Linked DNA regions of Nothobranchius furzeri. The protein of the gene in region 2 purifies or fractionates together with the protein of the main gene of each other region. This does not show direct contact. Links are inferred from orthologs where the notes say so. Each region holds a gene or a part of one and is shown on either strand. Other genes may lie near its edges.

Region 1 (5,674 bases), about 15 Mb from region 2:
AAATAAAAAATAAATAAAATAAAAAATTAATCGTCCTTGAGGTGGACTCGATACTCCCTGAACAACATTGCCCTCTAGTGGTCACAGCGTTCTCTACAGGTGTGTGCATGCATTCAGGCATCTAACAAGGGAGGATTTCTTATAGTTTGGCAAGTTTTCCTCAATGAAATGTGGAATAATTAGAATTTCCTCAAATACTAATGTTCCAGGAATGTTTGAGCAGCTTGATTTCCAAACACACACGCAAATGAGTCTGAAATCAAATAAATCATTGAACATCTTTCTCATTAAAGGGCAAACATTGTCCTAAAATGTGTCATGCAAGTGAGCAGAACTTGCGAGAACTAATTTACCAACCAGGTAGCTCTTCAGACGGATGAACTCCACCCTCGTCTCCAGGTACCGGTTGGAGCTGCGACCAAGAATCTTAATGAACTCCACCAGATCTGAGCAGAACTTGTAGCCTCCCTTCAGGACGCACAGAACCACGATCTTACTGTCCTCAAAGTCGTCCATAACGTATCGGGCCAGGCGCTCAATCCTGGAGGAGGAATCAAAATCACACCAGGGATGGGATTTCCAAGAAATCAACCAGCTCATGCGGGCTCCTACCTGTCCATGATGATGCCATGAGGGATGTAAACGTTCTCAATGTCATGGTGGTAGTGTTCTGGGTAGGTGAACAGGTCCAGACTGTAGCCGGGCCAGTCGTCTTTAATCTGAAGGAAACAAAATACTAAGGGCAGAGCTCTGCAGGTCCTACAGCAGCTGATGCTGTTTGGAAGCACATTGAACTTTTTAATAAAGCATTATTTTGTTGATTTTTTTTTAAAGCTTTGTTAAATTTTAGGTTTAATGAGATGTTGGTACTAAAATGTGTTCAACCAAACTGTGAGAACATCAGCGGGTACAGCGCTCTCAGAGAGCTGCTCAAATAATACAAAAAACATTTTTATATCTACAGAGAGGAAAAATAGGGGATTTTTAAAAATGTTCTTATGCATAAAAATCATTACAAAATCTAAATAAATAAACAAATAAATAAATCAGACTTTTTGTTTAACTTACCACAATTCCTCTTTTCATGTCTCCATCTTTCACTTGTGCTGACATGATGAAGACCGTCTGCACTGCAGGTTTATTCACCTTTAAGGGGATCACAGAAGCAGCTCTAGCCCAGTGAATTTATACTTTAAATGAAGAAAGTTAAGAACAAAAGTGGAGAAGGTACATATCCATCTGAAAAGAGCTGATTAATAAATCCTCTCGCTGTTGTGCTCCTGTAGCAGCAGCTGGCGAAGCAAAGAGGGAAAAAGGAGAAATGTCTAGGGAAGTCGTGTCCTTTCACGTGGGCCGTGCTATCACACTTGAGTCGTTTTGGTAAAAGAAAGGCTTTGTTTGGGTCAAGGAGACTTTAAATGGATAATCAGACGCATGTGATGCTACGCTGGCCGACCGGACGCAGACGGAGGGGGATGGAAATGAAACAAACTGCAGAAATTCGCTTCAGTTATGCCCAATTCACTCAGAAGCGTCATTCTAAAAGCTGCTCACTGAACTCATCACTGATCCAGAAGCTCCTCCACCTTCCTCGTTAATTCAGTTCCCCTTCAGAAACTTTTCAACAAGATTCGGAGCAACATATGCCATCCTTGATAAGGTTTTATTCATTTCCTCCAGATAATGTTGGCCATCTAAAACAATCCAGAGTTTAAAAAGGACGTTATTTCAAAATAAAACACCAACGTGTGGAATAATTATCAATTAAAGGAAATTAAATAGATGATATTAGAGTTTCCAACAGTCAGTGCTGTCTGAGACTAATCTTTGGGTTTGTAGATGATTGTGTACGTCTCAAAGTAGCTGATGTCCTTCTCCAGCTGACTCATCGCCTCTTCCAGCCTTTTCTTGTGGGCTTTCTTCGAGAAGGTGTCGATGATGAGAGGAAGGCACTGGTACTCACGATGAAAATGATCCCATCTCTTCTTCAGCCCCTGGAGGAGATACATGAAGAGGAAACAAGACATGATGGTTGGGTATGATCTCTCATGGCCACAGTTTAAGAGGTTTGGCTTGGTTTGAGCACCTTCAGTATGGACTGTCGCTCCTCTTCTGACAGGCGCTTCTTAGCTTCCTGCTCCTTCTGCTCCGCTATGAAGCGTTCATACTCCTCCTGAGTCTTAGTCTCTTCTTCTCTGCGCTTCTGCAGGTATGCAGGTACTTCGCCATAATCCTGCAGGGAAACCTTTGGTTTGCCTTGGATCTGACGCTAAATTTACCATTCAGTTTTGTGTTTTCGTTGTGGTAAATAATACCTGTTTCAAGACGTATTTGGGGACAAGTCCAGACTGTTCTAGGAGCTGCTTATCTCCTTTCCTACTGTCTACAGAAGCGGGCGTAGGCTTCACCGGCACTGCAACAGTTGTTTGTGAAAAATCCTTCTTGGTGTGAATCTCCATCGGTGGGATGTCCGTCCTTTTAGGTACTGGTGGCTTTCTCACAGTGCAAGTGCAAGTTCTGAGGCACTTTTTGGAGCACTCTGTCACTGAGGGATCGCAAAAAACATGTCAGGCATGACTAAAAGACCAATCTAAAAATGGTTCATTACAAGAACTCACCTTCAGGCAGTTTGGGCTCCTTTGAATGCTTCTTAAGGAACTTGTCTGGAGATGGCATTTCCACGTTCGCTGGTCCCATCGTCTTCATCGAATCTTTGGTTGCCTTGTTCTCAAGAATGACAGCTTGTCTGAACTTGGATACATACCTTTAGGAACATTTCAGAACATTAGAAAAAATAAGTTGGGTTAAAACAGAGTACATGTCATGATAATAAATGCAGTCAGGTTATAACCTGGAATGTATCTTTGACTACACTCTTATGATTTTATAGAATACCTACTGGTGTTTATGACTTTGATTTTGTTTCGGTAAATTTATTTTACAGGTTAGAACAGCTTTACAATTTCTACGATGAACTTTTCCTGCCAGGCTACAGATTTCATTATTGTAACCGAATTACATAAATTAGGGGTTTGAATGCTAAACTATAAAACAATTTTTTATGTCATTGTGCTTTTCTTTATGTAAAATAAGTCATTTGTAGGGTGTTAATTTATTTATTTAGGCAGCAAAAAGTAATACAAAAGTAAAGACGTTTAAACTATTTAACACTTTGACGACCCAATGTAAGAATACTAACCTCGGCGCTTTTTGAACTTTGCTCTCTTCCTTTGACAAATGGTTGTAGACGCTTTCTGGTGGCTGTTGAGAGTCCGACATGTTGACAATTTAATAAAAGCACGATAGTAAAAAGGTTTAATTTGACACTGGAGTTCAGCAACCGAAAAAATGAACGACTGCCTTGTTGCTAGGTAACCGGTTCCTCCAAACGCGGCATTCCAGGACAGTTTGGAAATATTCAAACCGTGCTTGCACATCGCGTTGTCAAACAAACACTTAAAGTCTCTAAAACAATTAAAAGAGGCGGTTGATTGTGAACGTACTTCTAAGATAAGATGAAATAACTCTAATTCTGAAATTCGTCAAACTTCAGTCAAACAGTCGATGCTTTGGAATGGAAAACACTAAATTCCGAGCTTCCTATTCGGTTTGGAATGCAACACCCTATTTTTCATGTGTTAAATTGTGTGTGTGTGTGTGTGTGTGTGTGTGTGTGGGGGGGGGGGGGGTCGAAATTATGCGTTTTCGAACTCGCTCTTATGCTGTAACTTTACGTAACAGTACTTATTCATGATCCTAAAGATACATGCCAATTTATGCCGTCAAATATATTTTTACAAAAGTTATTTGCGAATTTGACAATTTTGTCCCAGTATGCTTGCTGTAGCAGTCATTGGAGGCATGCTAAAGCCGGAGCGAAAATAGAAATCGTTGTCACGTGAGTGTTTGTATTGTAGATACTTTATGCTAGCTAGCTAACCGTAAGTAAGCCAGACCTCCTTCGGTTTTTACGGGCGCAACTACAAGATAAATTACGGTGTCCTCGTTTGAGAGTGCCTTTAGTTTTAGCTAAACGTCTCCAATTACCAGTTTTGTTCATTTGTTATGATGGAAAGTATACCATTGTAACCGAGCCTTCCATAAAGACACGGTAGAAGATATAGGATTGTGGTTGCTCAAGAAAAGGTTGATAACCGTGAACTCTCAGGGTCGCTATATTTTAAATAACACCATTAACAACTCCGCTCCAACTTCTGTTGTTTTTCTCTTTTCAAACATCACATCCTGTCAGCAGCACCTTCAAAATAAAAGTCCCATAAAAGTGGGTTACACCATCATAAACCATAAAAATGCCCACTGTACCTGGTCAGAAACTCCTGGTTTTTGCTTCTGAAATAAAGACGGAATTGTTTTGTTAGTAACAAAAGTTTATAGTTCCATAATGGGCCCAAATGTAAAATTTGATGTCACTGATTCTGGTGTGATCAAACTATGAGTCTAAAATCATAATATTTCAAGTATAGTGTTTCAACATGTTTTTATTATTTTTTTTCATAACGTGCAAATTTGTGCATTAATAAAATTAACTGATATGTTTCACTTACCCAGGGTCAACAGCTGCTTTCCTTTTCCTGAATGGCTTTACTACACGCAGGTCTGCTTGCACTAAGAGCTGCCAGATGTTACCTGTGTCCACTTTCAACATCAAAATCATGGCTTTCCACCAAAGCTAGCCCACTGGGGGACACAAACATCCTCCTCATGGGCCCGCCTGGAGCAGGAAAGACCACGGTTGCAAAGATAGTGGCTCATAAACTGGGAATTCCTGTCATTGACATTGACATCGACGTCTTGGAGACGACGTGGAAGATGCCCGTTGCAGCTAAACTAGCAACAGTAGGTGGACAGCGTTTTTTAGAGGAAGAAGGTCAGGCTTTGTGTGGCTTCTCAGCATCCGGGTGTGTTGTGTCACTGACGGGTTCTAACCCTCTCCACACTGAGGCAATGCAGCATGTCACACAGAGCGGACTCGTCATTTACCTTGACGTGGACAGTGACGATATAATTCAGAGACTCGACAGGATGAAGGTGAACAGGATTGTGGGTCAAGCAGCAGGAGTGTCCATTAGAGACATTTTGCTTTACAGGAAGCAGTTTTATGAAAAGTGGCTTGACTTGCGGGTGTTTTGTGGAAGAGGAGACACGGTGGAGGAAGTGGTGGAGAAGGTGCTGCTGGCTGTGGAGCGATATCAGAAACGGGATGAGGAAACGTACGTGTCTACTAGGTGTGATGGCGCAGAGCTGGACGGACACAAAACATATTTCACTAATGTGGTGGTGGAAGGCCTGGCTGCTGATGGTGGCCTGTATGTTCCTAAAAAAGGCTTTCCCAAGATTAGTAAAAAGGAATGGCTCAGATTGGTTTCAATGACATATCCAGAGCGAGCTTTAGTTTTACTAGAAAAGTGCATCCACCCGTTGGACATCTCTGCTTCTGATCTCAGAACAATGATACTTAAAGCGTACGGGTCTAACTTTTCTAGTGAGAGAGTTGCGCCTGTCAAACATCTCATCCACAATCAGTATGTTCTGGAGCTTTTTCACGGCCCTACTGCCTCATTCAAGGACTTGGCCTTACAGTTAATGCCTCAAATCTTTGCTCACTGCCTCCCACCATTGTGCAACTTCCTCACACTGGTTGCCACGTCAGGAG
Region 2 (6,239 bases):
TGGATGGAATTTGGAGAAATGGCTAACGGCTAGTCCTAGCATAGCTACGCTAACATGAACTGCTACCTTCTTAAAACACACCAAAAAAATCTTTCACAGTACCTCATGAAAACTGTTTAAAGGCACAAGTACACCAGTCTTGGCTGTTCTTAGACTAGCCGTTAGCTTATCAGTCCCATAGAACGTATTCTCTAGTTCACCAAGCGGAGGCTGTTCGTGAAGCTTTTGACAAGAGCTGAGAAGATAATTTACGAGACTTACGTGCAAAGGATGGACTGATCCTCCCGATCTGTTAGAGAGAGAAGTTTCGGTTCATGAAAGATGAAGATGTGCTAAAGTTCAGTCGTTAGCTAACGGTAACATCATGTATAACGGGCGCGGTTTACGCCGTCTCACCCTGCATCATGCTCCTGTAGGCCGTGTCTGTGATGGCGTAGATGTGGGGGGGCATCTCATGTCTCTTCTTGCCCTTGTACATGTTGACTATCTCCTCGTTGTAGATGGGCAGGTTCTTGTAGGGGTTGATCACCACACAGAACAGACCGGAGTACGTCTGGATCACAGCGGGATGGCAACGTTAGAGAGAACCTCTGAATCCGGTGAGCAGCAACGGATCGGAACACTCACGTAGATGAGTCCCGAGTAGTATCGCTCCTTCAGGTTGTGCAGCACGGAGGCTTCGTTCAGGCAGGTGAGCTCTGCCATGTCCTCCACCTTGCTGAATTTGGGAGGATTCATTTTCTGGATATCATCTTTGTTGACCTTCACCTAAGATTTAAATAACCAAGCAGGAGGTTTGCCATTTGCCGCAGACAAGACTCCAGAAACACAAATTGAGGTTTGATCCTCACCTTCTTGCCAGAGTCCGACAGCTCCACCACACACTCGTCTCCCTGCTCCTCCTTCAGCGAGCCGGCTTCGTAGCCCACCTTCTCACTGGGAACCCACACCAGCTTCTTGGAGGCCCAGTCGGCCTGAGCCAGGGGGTTGTTGACCTCGCTGCGGTCCCCATACAGGAACTTGTCTGCATCAGTCATGGTGGCTGCAGGACGCAAAACAGAGTTTAATCAGATGAGTCAAGACAAAAGAAAATAGACTAGTAGTTAGCTCATCAGTCCCAAAAAGAAACTCCATTTCTCTAAACAAAGGCTGTTCAGGAAGCTACACAACAGGTAGGATCATTATTTATAAATTTTACACGTGAACACCACAAAAATCACCATTTCTATTTAATTCAGGCAGTTTTAGATTCTCAAAAGAAGATTTGATTGTAAAATCTACTCGATGCTCCACCCGGCGTCTGACGCTCAGGAATTTGCCACCAGGTTTCTGTGTGTGTGATTAGATCAAATTGCTTCATATCTCAAATCTAAAATTACCAGAACTTTGCAGTTTCCTGAAAATAAATCCCTAAATGTTGATGAGTCAGAGGGACTGAACAAAAACATTCGTGCTCAGGCAGGAACCAGGGCTGCTTGGCGATGCGGTCAGACTGGGGTTTTAATTCAAATCGGCATCTAGATGAAGATTTCTGCTACAGGAGAGCGTGGGAGGAGACCGCATCAAAGATATGATCATAACGCAGACATTCTGCAACCACTAATGACTTTTCGGACGAGCTAAGCGTTTAGGGTCTCAGAAACAACGTGGCTGTGGCCGAGACTCTGGGCGCAGATGGCCTTAGCTCTGGGTCTATTCTGACTCACCAATAATCAGACGTGTTCGGCTTTATCCGTCGTTTTCCTGTTAGCCGAGTGTTTTTGTTACATTAGAGAGGCTGTTGCCTGTTGAAACAGAGGATTAATCATATTTAGCACAGCTGAAGAGCTTCGGTGTATCTATACTGGGAGCTGTTATTACTGCAGACTCAAATCACCCTGAGGTGTCAAGTTTATATAATGACTTTGAGCTCCTCGTGTACACACAGAGCTGAGGCGTGTGCACTCCGATCCACAAACACGGGAGGCACGGGACAGGTTTGGACACATCTTCTAAAACAGCTGTTTGAAGTTTTCCACTGAATCCTTCTGAGTGAACACGGAGCATCTTTTATCCAAAGCTGGTTGGAATGAGACAACACTCCACACAGATGACGCTCCACAGCTAAGGTCCATTAAATTACTCTTTTTAAGTCTTCAACACGACTCTTCTTCCTCTCCATTTCCACGACATTCCTTCTTCACCTTCTCATTATAGAGAATTCCACAAATTCCCAACCCCTCATCGTCATCTTCAACCATCCGTTCACTTTTCAAACTTCCAGAGCTAATGAGCAGCCTTTGTGTCCTGCTCCGTGTTCCTGGCGTTTGCTGTTCAAACTGTAAGAAGGTTCTGATGGAGACCCTTGGATTGGTGCTTTGGAGGTGGAGGAATGTTGGAGCAGGTCTGGGCACATGCCATATCCAGACCACACCCTTACAACCCCTCCAGCCCCACATCAGATAAAATTCTATGTTCTGGACGGTCAGCTGGGTCCTTGGAGAACAAATATTTATTCAGATGAGCTACTTCCACGTATGGATGATGAAAGAGTGTGTGTCTGTGTGTGTTTATAGAGTGAGGGATAAAGGGATCAGTGCACAGGGTGTCATCTGTGTCTCCCTTAAGTTCATTATGAGCTCAGACTCTTGGAGATCAGAGGGAGAGGACTGACATCCTGCAGCGTCCAGATCACCAGCACCGACCCAGAAACGCTTCATCTGTGTGAGAACTTGTGATGCTTCATGAGGGTTTGTGGTTTTGCTGCTGCTGAACTAACTTCTGCAGGAAGTTACACAAACTCTCCCGCAGCTCTTTGAAACGACTAAAGGAGCTGCTGCAGTCTGCTAAGGGTGTGTGCACGGTCTGCACCGCTAATCCTTTGTGCTCCTTGGCACGTTTTCTGCAGCATCACCACTGAACTGATCTCGGCTGTTTGCCAATCTGCTTCTTATCCTGGCACACGCTCGCCCGCACGCACACACACACACACACACACACACACACACACAAGACTGGTGTGAGGTCCTCTTGTCCCTGCAGACTATAATGAAGCAGGTCTTGTTTGTGATGATGAACCTAAAGAGGAAGACTCATTTCACAGAAGTCAGGCTCGGCCTGAACCCGGCCTGGCTGAGGAAGTCCGTCACTGATTGTAGATAACTGAAGCCACAGACCAGCCCTGCTTGCTGTCTGAGCACCAGAACCAGAACTGGGCTCCGCTCATTTCAGGACTAAACTGATGCTCATCCCATAATCTACACATGCCTGTAGTAACCAGAAACCAGCATCTTCTGGTGTCACTTTAGGTGTTAAGTGAAATAAATTCTTTCATCTCAAGTTTGCACCAAATTTAGCTGAAACGGTTAAAAAAAGGGTTGTTGGCTCTAAACATCCTCTGACCAGAACACCTGGAGCAGGTGAGCTGCAGAAATCCCCATATTTAAATGTCCCTCCTGCAGGAGAAGAAACCCACTCACCTGGATCTCAGCAGCTGAGTTCTTCCTGGTTCCGTCTCTGCTCTCGGTTCCGGCTGACGTCTCGATCGGTGTCCCCTAGAGCCAAGAGAGCCCGTCTAACTGTTCGGAGCCCGACTTTAGCCCGGATGGACTCCGCGCGCCGCTCAGCTGCTCACTTTTTATCACTTCTCAGGTGAGCTCGTGGCCACGCCCACCTGTCGGCGGCTGCGCGCGCTGCTTTCAATGGCATCACGGAGCACGGAAGGGATTTCTGCACAGGGGTGCTTTTAACTCTCACTTTTAACTTACTTTTAGACGCGTTGGTGAATGTAATAAATCACAAAACACGGAAACAAATTACGTGTTGCCAGATAAATGCAGCTGAATGATTACCTCCAGTGTATAAACACACCTCTATGCACCGAAACACACACCGAATATTCAAATGAGACAGAAAGGGGAATAAAAAACCAGCGAGCCCGTTTTTCCGGTTCCCAATGGGCTTCAAAAACGTGGTTTCGTTTTATCAAAAATGCTTAATTTAATTTATGGTGATTTGTGACATTCGTACTGCGCAAAAATTCCTCAAAAAAGTTTTTTTTTTTAACGGGCATACATTTAAAAAGTCAGTCCCAGTATTTAAAACTCTTAACCTTTCTGATGGAGTCCACATAGAAACATCTGCAACAGCTGGAAGCTCTGACACCGTTCTGTTTATGGGGTTCTAACTAGTCCATCAATTCCAAATATCAAAATCAGGGGCGGTTCTAGGCCAAATTTTCCAGGGGGGCCACAGTGGGGCCAGTATTTTTTCATGGGGGCGCAAGAAAAAAAAGGGGAAAATTAGGGCAATATCAAAATTCTTTTTTGTCGTCGCCATATGACTAATTTTGTGCTTGTACACAATTTTGCCAAAGGAAATTCATTGATGTCAGGAAAATAAACTGTATTGCTTGCCTTCGTCTCTCAGCGTCTTTTCCGTTAGTTGTCCTCAAGAATTTCTTTGGGTCCCATTTAAACTATTCTTAATCTTTTATTCAAAAATCCACCGGGTAAACAGTTCTGTCCACAGAGTGTGCTGCACTCTAAAGGCTCCGTGTGAAACGCTGCAGCGCATTAGTTCCCGTCTCCGAGGCAGCGCGGGGGGAAAAATCCGATCTCTTCAGCACAGGGGCCATAACAGGGGCCAGGGCCAGTTCTATAGGGGCCCAGGCCCCTGTTTAAAACCGCCAATGATCAAAATAAAAGACTCGGGTTAGCTTTTTTCGCAATGAAAGATTTCTGCAGAAGAGCTAATCCTCTACATAATCTCCTACTGCTCCACCTCAATGTTCCCGATCGTTGTTCTACAAAAAGATCCATTTCAGACTCATCTGTCCCAGTTTGCTTGTCTGTTAGCTGAATCTCTGCTGAAACTGAGATAACATGGCTGCCGCACAAACAGCACTACCTCAGAGCTAAATATTCACATTAGCAGCTGAGAGTCGTGCACAACAGATGGTGTGAGTGCTAGTTGTTTAAGATCTTGGTATGTAGGATCGTGCCATCTTCAAGGTTGGACCAAATGGATGCAAGTCCATCTGTAGGAGCCATATGGGTCTTTCATTTTCTTTCTGCATACATGAGAGGAGGCTTGGCCTCATTTGATTGGTCAAATTGATTGTGGAAGCACCAGCCTACTTAAGCCAACACAGATTAGACTCTGGTGTTGCTGTGATGGCACAAACAGTTTTTTATTGTGTGGCGAGGACTGCGGCTGGGTGTAAAGGACCCTGCGGACTGTCATTGGGGCAAGTAACGCATTCACTGTAAACCACTTTAACTGCTGTGAAAGGATCGTGGACATTTGTGGAACAAGACGAAATAATGAACATCATCGGAAATAAACACAAGCTGCAATTCTTTTAAACACACGTAAAGACCACCACCCGCATCAGTAGCCAGTAGCGCCAGTGTATAGGGCATTGGTATTACACCATCACTTTTGAGGATCTCTGTCTAAGGCCCTGTCCACACGTAGCCGGGGATCTGCCAAAACATAGATATTTTTCTTTCACACGAAAACGGATCTTTTTAAAAACTCCGGCCAAAGTGAAGATCTGCGTTTTCTCCGTTTTGGGTGTCTGCGTGTGGACAGACAAAACCGGAGTTTTAAGGTCCGCAACGTCACTTTCCACGACAAAAAAATGCTGACATCACGTGTGCGACCTGTGTTTACACTAGCCGACAGCATGGATGCCCTCAGAGCTGCGCTCGCTTTATCAATTGTCCAAGCGCTTTTTGCTTGTTTGTTTTTGCAAGCGGAATTACTGCTCCTTGCGGAAGACCACAGACGAAGGACGAGGTTAAGAACGGGGGAAGTACTGCCCCCTACAGGTCTGGCATGTCCTTAACAACGTATTTATCCGGGTACGTGTGGACAGAGTTTTTTTTAAAACGAGGTGGTGTGGATGCAAGTTTTTGGAGGGACGGATGTTCGTTTTTTTTTTTAAACGGCTACGTGTGGACTAGGCCTAAATCTCTGACATGTGAGGTCCTGCAAGGAATGTCGAGACTTTCTTGACAGTGTAGGTTCTGTCACTCTCTAAAAAGTGTTAAAGCTGGATCATTTGTCTAAAAGTGATTTAAATGGGACTAGAGATTTGTCTGGAGTTAATGTGAGGTTTTTATGCTAAAGTTGCCCTCTGCAAAAATACAACACACCTCAGACACACACAACCACAAAGCTGGGAGGCTAATGTGATGTTAAAGAGCCAGTAGATGTGTGTTAAATTTGCAGGAATGAAGAATTTCCTCACCATC

What was found. Proteins that work in one complex are often made in the same cells at the same time.
Region 1: the proteins of myosin-9 (region 2) and enkur purify together in Homo sapiens (affinity purification with western blotting; 4 studies listed by BioGRID, with this or other methods). This does not show direct contact. The link is inferred for Nothobranchius furzeri from reciprocal best matches to the Homo sapiens genes MYH9 and ENKUR.

What each region holds. Positions count from the first base shown.
Region 1 is NC_091747.1:58,838,675-58,844,348, reverse strand, and holds enkur (enkurin), read right to left. Parts: upstream 3,387-5,674; 5' UTR 3,280-3,386; coding exon 3,200-3,279; intron 2,765-3,199; coding exon 2,619-2,764; intron 2,546-2,618; coding exon 2,316-2,545; intron 2,234-2,315; coding exon 2,087-2,233; intron 1,995-2,086; coding exon 1,821-1,994; 3' UTR 1,645-1,820; downstream 1-1,644. Other genes in the region: prtfdc1a (phosphoribosyltransferase domain-containing protein 1), read right to left, coding at 358-541, 613-719, 1,069-1,113. UniProt on the Homo sapiens protein: Adapter that functions to localize a calcium-sensitive signal transduction machinery in sperm to a calcium-permeable ion channel.
Region 2 is NC_091747.1:73,544,241-73,550,479, reverse strand, and holds the start of myosin-9, read right to left. Parts: upstream 3,593-6,239; 5' UTR 3,459-3,592; intron 1,043-3,458; 5' UTR 1,038-1,042; coding exon 852-1,037; intron 769-851; coding exon 628-768; intron 554-627; coding exon 397-553; intron 290-396; coding exon 262-289; intron 1-261. UniProt on the Homo sapiens protein: Cellular myosin that appears to play a role in cytokinesis, cell shape, and specialized functions such as secretion and capping. Required for cortical actin clearance prior to oocyte exocytosis. Promotes cell motility in conjunction with S100A4.